Linked DNA regions of Kluyveromyces lactis. Each later gene encodes a partner of the first gene's protein in a complex. Links are inferred from orthologs where the notes say so. Each region holds a gene or a part of one and is shown on either strand. Other genes may lie near its edges.

Region 1 (2,989 bases):
TTGGAGCTAAACGAAAGAACTTTCGCTGATCTTTGTCAATATACCGATGAATTCTTGGTTCATGCAGCAGATGTAGAGGGTCTATGTAATGGGATTGATGAAGAGCTAGTGGCTCATTTGTACAAATGGACTGCGGATATTCCAAAAGTGAAAATCGTATACGCAGGCGGCGCTAAGAGTGTGGATGATTTAAGGCTAGTAGAGAAATTGAGTCATGGCAAAATTGATTTGACCTTTGGTAGTGCTCTTGATATTTTTGGTGGATCCCTTGTAAAGTTCGAGGACTGTGTCCAATGGAACCATGAGAAACACGCTTAGCTTCCAGTCTTTGTCTAATAGTTACACTTTCGATGGAAATAAACATTCTATATAGAGATAGAGATATTGAAACATTTTTGACCGTTCAACTTTTGAACGGACGTGGTAGATTGGATGGTAGCAGATGCTGCTAGTGCCTTTGAGTATGCTAGTATTAAGGAATATATGCCTTGTGTTTCGTCAATGAATTATAGAAAAATCGTTGCCTTTCACGATAATTGTGGTAGCTTTTTCTTGTTGTCTTGTCTCACCATGCATCATCGTATCCTGAGCCTCCTACTGGCCCTCCATAAGGATCCATATCTTCTTCCATCGGCACTTGTTGTGATACGTGCGTAGATACAGCTCCTGCTGCGAAATTAACTTTCTCTTGGTCCATCTTCTTTAATGAGAATAATATGTCGGCTACTTTATCCTGTAAAGTTTTGATACCACGTACGACGACTTGTTCCGAAGTGATGGAACCAACAGACTCGACGTTTATGTAAAATGTATTAGGTTTGGCCCTGTAGTCGAAATCCTCGTCTTCGTTAGGAGGATCTTCAAATTCACAATTCTTAGATTGAGGCCATTCGTCCCTTGCATCCTGTTCGTACCAGTAATCTGTGTGTTTTAACTTATTCCATGGATCATATTCAAACTCTATAGCTGCTGATGGTGACCATTTCGCATGTTCTTTTGAAATACCCTTCTTAGCGATACATTTCACTCTTATCTCTTGTCCCTTTCTTAGTTTACAGATTAATACACCATTTGCTTCTCTGTCTTGTATAATTGGATGGCCAATATTTCTACCCTTCAAATCGCTGGTAATCTGCAAATCCTTAGCATAAACGTTCGTCGTGGATTCACTCTCACCGATAGCATGTAGTATTAGCTCTACTGAACAACGGTCACAGTGATCTTCACAGTAACAGTCACGACAGTATACAACTTGATCAATGTCTGCACTTTGTAATGGAATTAACCCAAGTCTATGCGCAATAAATTCATCTGCCAACACAGTAGTATTAGTTTCAATCTCAACAGAATCGATGGCTAGTGTAGGAATCTCAGATATCATGACTCTACGTAACGAGTTTGCTAAAGCCAAGTCGACATTAGAAAGTATAAAGTCAACGTTGTCCTTGGTTGCTTCTCTAATTTTTACTTGGGGACCTTCTTCGCTCATTTGTTCTTTCGCAGTATTAAACTCTGATTTCTCCCTAAGATATGACCTGCTCCTTGCTCAATCAAATACCAGAGTATTGACCAAACTACAGCAACGAAATGATTTGTTCTCGTTCCCTTGGTGCATTCGATTATTGTTTTATGAATTTTTCACTTTTGTTCAGTTGGAAAATTTTTGAGCTTTGGCAGCGTTTGGTCACGTGCATAGGACTATTCCATCAATACTGTTTCAAATAGGCTCAGCTAAGAATAATATTGCTCGGAGTCATGTATATATAGCCTTTATTACCTATAGTTAACTTCTTCGAACAATAGTGGCCCCATTTCTTTCTTATTAGCATTATTTCTTCTTTGTAGGACCTTCAAATCGGTTTTTGAACATATTAGAAAGCTGATCCCACGCAATAGGCGAAATATCAAGTACAATTACACATCACCGAATTTAAAATAAGGTGAGTTATCCACAGATAATCAGCCTTTTACCATGCCTAAAGGAATTGCCCGTGTGGATGAGAAAGTTTCAGTAAAGGCGTCATTGCCAGATTTGCGATTTGAACAGACCTTTAAGCAGTCCTTGAGGAAAGAAGCTTTGAAACAGAATAAATTAACTCTATCGGTGGCTGATGGATCTGTCGTAGATCCTCCCATTACACCATATATCGTTGCAAAAGTTGTTGCTAGAGATATTTTGATAAGTCCATTTTTGCAGGGTGTCTTTCTCTCGTTATTTTATATCGTTGCCAAGCCATGGTTACAATATTGCAGACAAGCAGGACGTAATATTGGCAGAAGTATAATTAGGAACTTATTTGGTAAGAATGCGATATACAGGCCACCAAGAAACATATAACTGAACTTCTTCTCCTAGGGATTATAGAAGGATTAGGATACTATTAACACGAATTCTCTTGTCGTCGTTCTGTTCCTTCTTCGTCAAACAGAAACGACGATAATCTATATAGTAAAATATAAACTAACTTAGTATGATGATGATTTAATGTACATTACGACCAAAACCAACACTTTATTTCTTTCATACGCTCTGATAGTTCGCAGTAATCCAAGAATAACATTACCAGGCATGCAATATAGAACAGGATTAGGTAGTGAAAGCTGTGTTCCGCCACCGTTTTTTCCAAATAACGAACTCATGAATCTATTCCAGAGCGATAGTAAGTGAAGGTTGGGAAGGTATTGGCTTTGTATCATTATTATTTGTTATTTTTGTACTGAGTAAAAATTTCGGAGTCATGGTCATTAAGTGAATTGTCTGGAACCACCACGGACAAATTCGAGGATCTTCCAACCTTCGGTTTCCTTATCGTCGACAGTTTCTGGATCCCTGGTGAAAACCATGGCGTAAGAACTCATTAATATACTGGATTCAGCACCTGCTGCAATTTCACCGGTCTTTGCTTTTCTGTATAAGTGAATTTCTTGAGCACGACAACCGACAACCAAGACAGGGATATCCTGAGGTGGTAATAGCTTGGCACTGACG
Region 2 (2,164 bases), about 790 kb from region 1:
TAGATTCTATTCTTATGTTCAGAAAATCCTATAAGGGACTGTCGAAAAGAAACCTATAATGATCACTGTATCCTATACAACCGCTTCTGGAACACTTTATAATGACTACTATTTACGAGATCACTGTATATAAACAAAACTTAATCTTAATATGTTTCTACATGGAAATATGCCAACATCTTATGTAAGGCTTCCCGTCTTTAAATAATTAATGAACTTTTTAAAATCCCAACATACCAAATTTATAAAATCAGATGAATATGCTTTATTTAGGTGATGTGAATAGTATACAATGCAATAGTACATGAAATAGAATTGTGTGCATGCGTGCATGCGTGCTTCTTGTGCTTTCTTTATTTGTCGTTTCAGCAGCTGAACAGAAGTTACAGCAAACAGATGGTAATTGAAACTCAGTGGTTTTGTCTATTCTGGAGTCCATACGTCGAACGTAATAAAATGCAAACAAAGAACGCAAGAAAACAACGCGGTAGTAACCAGTGGCAGAAAAGTGAAGACGTAATTAAAGAGAATGGACCATTTTAGTGTAGAAGGGGGTATCGCAATTGATAGTAAAAGCAGACCACCTAATCTCTTTTTTCCAAAGGATTGTATCTCAAGAACTTTTCAATCAAATCGACATGTGTTAGAATCATTCTTCTGCAACAGTATCTCTTCAACCCCAATCTAGTCAAAGCAGTACCTTCTTCTAGTTCTTCTTCTTGCAACATATTCAAATAGGCTTCCCATTTGTCACCGACAACTTTCCCACAGGAAAAACATCTAACTGGAACAATCATCTCTCTTTAAAAGTATATCGAAACGAAAAAAAACCTAGAAACCTGGAAACCTGGAATAAACCCTCCGAGATTTATAAACTATCACAATAAGTGGATCAAAACCTGCTCGACCTTTTGAAAACTCATATAATTTGCATCACAAATCATCATATTCAACCAGCTTTCTTAATTCTTAATACTTTAATTTTTCATCGGTTCCAAATTTTTCATTAGATGCCCTTATATGTCACTTCTCACGATAGAGATGACCATCGTTTCTTTTCAAATCCTCGTCCTGCACAGGTTTCAACCATAAAATTTTCCAAAACTACAATTCTACATACGGTGAAAAAAAAGAATCCACATTAGACAAATAATTGAAAAGATGCGATGAGCTTATGAGTTATATGATGAGCTTGTCTTTTGAGAAGCAGAGAAAGAAAATACCAAGAGTAGGATCAGCCAGAGGCACCAACAAGAGTATCAGCTGTTATCGAATCCACGTTAAATATGCCAAACTCTTCGTTACCAATGTACAAGCTTTCTGTTGTTTCTGGTGGGAAGGTCGCTCTTCCTAGGATTCACAATAGATCCGCGACTAGAAAATCGGTGAGTTGTCTTACTCAGGACGGGTCAGCATACATTGTCCCTTTCAACAATCAGTTCAAAGTGTATTCAATTGATACTAGACAATGTATTAAGACATTGAAATTTGCTAATAATGATATTTTGACTTCGATACTCGATGAGCCTTCTGTAGAGGTGGTGCATATCGAGCCTATTATTGACGATGAGATGGATAAGATCAGAGTGTATACCAACACTGCGAAAGTAGTTATATTGAAGTATAAGGGTAAATTAGCCACGGAGATTAAAACTTGGTCTTTGAATATTACTGGCGAGTTATTTGCAGTTCTTGGCGATGGGAAGAAATTACTTACAGTTCAGAAAACAGGGAACTCTTACAGATATGATCTATATGAAAACGTTGAAGAGAAAGAGGAAGAATCTGAGGTTAAACACCTTGAAACTTTTGAGAATGTTTTACTTTCAACTTGGTCTAATAACAATAACTACCTTGCCCTAGTTTATTTGAACCAGGAAACTAAAAAACATGTGCTGATCAAATCTATGGTCGACAACAGTTCAGTTCAGAACTTCCCAGTACCATCTACAACATCTAGTACCACCATAAATTCCCATTTTGTCACTGCTCTTGCGTTAGATAACGACGGCCAGCAGTTGGCTATTGGATTTGCATCTGGTGTTATAAATTTGATCAATCTACCTGATCTGTCTCATAGATTATTGAAATGGCATATCGACTCAGTCCTATCCTTAGGATTTACAAATGACAACGCATATTTACTGTCTGGTGGTTGGGAGAA
Region 3 (2,483 bases), on another chromosome or scaffold:
ATTTGTGATATCTATCTTTGAATATGAGGATACGGTAACGACATTATGGGATGCTGTTGAGGAATTCATGGATACTTATCCAGAAATTCTACATCCTAACAACAGTCTAAGCTTTTTGACGGATACCACGATGGTGGGACGTTTTTTCCCTGTTGTTGATTCGAATACAGACTATAATCTATGTCATTTCTGGTCCAATTTCGAAATTGGAGATCTAAATTTCTTTAGAAGTGACGAGTATCTTCAGTATTTCAATTACTTGGACTCCAAGGGTGGGTTTTATTATGAACGTTGGGGTGATGCACCCGTGCACAGTATAGGTGCCTCATTACTTCTAGACAAGAATGAAATCCACCACTTTGATGAAATTGGATACAGCCATGTTCCATTTGAAACATGTCCCACGTCCATATCAGCACGATTAGTGCTCCGTTGTATGTGTGATCCTAACGGCGAATCTAATATTCCCATCCACCCAAACAGTTGCTTGATGAGATGGTGGAAAAACGGTGCCGGCAAACTATTTATTAGATGATGGAGCAGAGGTGAAACCGGGGATATATATAAGATATAGTACATAGGTTTTAGTATAAAGTTTCCAAATTCGATAATTCCTTTAGGATTCTTTCTAGATCTTCGTCAGATATCTTGGTTCCTAAACTTGGAATTAGAGTCTTGGCTTCATCTGCATCTTCGCACGATAGAGAACCCAATTGCGCCACTTCGAATGGATGCAACCCTGTGGATGATAAAAGCTGTGATACAGCGGTTACTGTTTCCTGATCACGGAAACGTGAAAAATTCGTTAGGTATATCATGGTCTGCTTCAACGCTTGATTCTGTCCACCAGTGGTCTGTTCAAGCAATCTATCTATATCCTGTAACTCTTTCTCCTGTGTTTGGGTATGCACATTGACGTTATCTTCATCATCCATGTCATCGTCCTTATTTGATGCACCATTGCTTGCCCATGTCTTGAATAATTTCCGACGGTTCTGTAGCGTTTCCTTTATAATCAAACGAGACTCACTCAAATTTAAAGCCACTAGGTTTTCCTCCTGCCCCTGATGGTTGATTTGCTTCAAATTAAACTCTTCTCCCAAGTGTAAAGTGGCAGCATTCTCTTCTTCAACAAACTTCTTCAACCCACGTCTCTTGGTTTGAACAGTGGATGTAGATGTATTCATGGTAAATTCGAGCTGTTATCTATAAGAGCGGTCCAAAAAAGTAGACGAGTGTAATCACAAAAAGTGCTATTCCAGTAATCAGCCACTTTGACAACGGTACAACTTAGATAAATGTAACTCCAGTTGATGTTTCGAGTGACAAAGTTAGTTTACCTCTCGTTTTAATCGTAATTGAATTTCCATTTTTTTTCCTAACGGTAATTATGCGAAAACTCAACATCAGAATATTGGCCCTATGACTTCATGACATGAATGTTCTCTGTATTTAAGGTATTAAAGTGAATCTTGGCAAAGCTGTTTGTTTGTACAGGACACCAGGGCTTATTTTTAGGGCAGCGCTGTATGTACTTGGTACTCATCGTGATTAGGTATAGCCAGATTCGAATTTAGCTGTTTTTTAATATAGGAAGGCGTACATTCTTTAGCTGGTTTTGTTTCTGTTACTGTTTTGCTATAAGTTCTTTAAGCGAAACTCAGGGTTATTCAGTCGATATAACGTTTAAAAGGTATTTCCGTTGAAACTTTGAGTTGTGAATTGGTCATTTCTTTGTTGGAAGAGAGGCTTTTCTAATATTTTGCTGCAATAACGTGGTTAGACGTTGACTATAATCTGATATATAATAAATGGGGGATAAGAATAGCCTTTGGAACCCTGCGTTCATGGCTTCTCAGCAGGGAGCGTCGAGTTCGAATCAGAACCAGAACTTTTCTCAGACGCAGGCAAATACCCAGAATCAGGGCCCAGAGATTGCGCCTGATGGGCCAGCTGGGAGTAGCTCCAATGCAGGCGGGAATATATATGCAGGGCAGCAACAAGGCGGAAATGCGGCTGGTGGTTTCCAAATGCAGTCGCCACGTCAATCGATATTCAAAAACCCATGGCAAGAGATTCCCCAGATACCTGAGTCTCAGAGGTCTACTATGAGGAAGCAATCCAACTTCCCCTTGCCCACTACTTACGAAGAAGATAACGCTGTAGATGAATCCTCACAACAGTTCAGAAGGAGAAACTCATCTTTAGTAATACCACCTGCGCGTGCGGCAGGGCCTGATCCGTTCCTTTATGAGAAGCAACCGTTTCCCAACTATAATGATGCACAAAGAAGGCAGTCGGTTGCTGTCACTGGTGGCAGTCAACTTTCGCCACAGCAGGTAACGAAACCATCTCAGCTTAGGAAACCTGGAATTAATACTGCGGGATATATGGCTGGCTCCATAAATTCTTCTGTGTATCCCGCTACTGCAGGTGCATACATGAGCACGCGTGGCGGCTCAAGTTCACTTCCGTCGTCAAGG

The links. The genes of interacting proteins can lie anywhere in the genome.
Region 2: the proteins of RPB3 (region 1) and RPB10 are in contact, whole or in part, in a crystal structure (PDB 3K1F), measured with the Saccharomyces cerevisiae proteins. The link is inferred for Kluyveromyces lactis from reciprocal best matches to the Saccharomyces cerevisiae genes RPB3 and RPB10. Residues at the interface, in NP_012243.3 of Saccharomyces cerevisiae: Asp16, Asn17, Val57, Leu58, Phe62, Arg66, Leu69, Ile70, Pro71, Thr110, Asn112, Tyr114, Gln135, Asp136, Glu138, Asn140, Gly141, Val142, Leu143, Ile144, Cys145, Lys146, Leu147, Arg148, Lys149, Gln151, Ala168, Lys169, Gly171, Ala174; in NP_014853.3 of Saccharomyces cerevisiae: Met1, Ile2, Val3, Pro4, Val5, Arg6, Cys10, Gly11, Lys12, Val13, Gly15, Asp16, Lys17, Glu19, Ser20, Lys42, Arg43, Ile57, Glu58, Phe60, Leu61, Arg62, Tyr63, Asn64, Pro65.
Region 3: RPB3 (region 1) and RPB4 share a complex: the UniProt entries of both Saccharomyces cerevisiae proteins name them as parts of the RNA polymerase II (Pol II) complex. The link is inferred for Kluyveromyces lactis from reciprocal best matches to the Saccharomyces cerevisiae genes RPB3 and RPB4.

The regions. Positions count from the first base shown.
Region 1 is NC_006040.1:1,362,244-1,365,232, forward strand, and holds RPB3 (DNA-directed RNA polymerase II core subunit RPB3), read right to left. Parts: upstream 1,490-2,989; coding exon 566-1,489; downstream 1-565. Other genes in the region: 1-(5-phosphoribosyl)-5- ((5-phosphoribosylamino)methylideneamino)imidazole-4-carboxamide isomerase HIS6, read left to right, coding at 1-318; KLLA0_D16192g (uncharacterized protein), read left to right, coding at 1,973-2,338; protein translocase subunit TIM44, read right to left, coding at 2,746-2,989. UniProt on the Saccharomyces cerevisiae protein: DNA-dependent RNA polymerase catalyzes the transcription of DNA into RNA using the four ribonucleoside triphosphates as substrates. Component of RNA polymerase II which synthesizes mRNA precursors and many functional non-coding RNAs.
Region 2 is NC_006040.1:575,967-578,130, reverse strand, and holds RPB10 (DNA-directed RNA polymerase core subunit RPB10), read right to left. Parts: upstream 798-2,164; coding exon 585-797; downstream 1-584. Other genes in the region: dynamin-related GTPase MGM1, read left to right, coding at 1-59; NAN1 (Nan1p), read left to right, coding at 1,287-2,164. UniProt on the Saccharomyces cerevisiae protein: DNA-dependent RNA polymerases catalyze the transcription of DNA into RNA using the four ribonucleoside triphosphates as substrates.
Region 3 is NC_006037.1:539,734-542,216, forward strand, and holds RPB4 (DNA-directed RNA polymerase II subunit RPB4), read right to left. Parts: upstream 1,188-2,483; coding exon 585-1,187; downstream 1-584. Other genes in the region: KLLA0_A05775g (glycosyltransferase family 15 protein), read left to right, coding at 1-535; serine/threonine protein kinase YAK1, read left to right, coding at 1,812-2,483. UniProt on the Saccharomyces cerevisiae protein: DNA-dependent RNA polymerase catalyzes the transcription of DNA into RNA using the four ribonucleoside triphosphates as substrates. Component of RNA polymerase II which synthesizes mRNA precursors and many functional non-coding RNAs.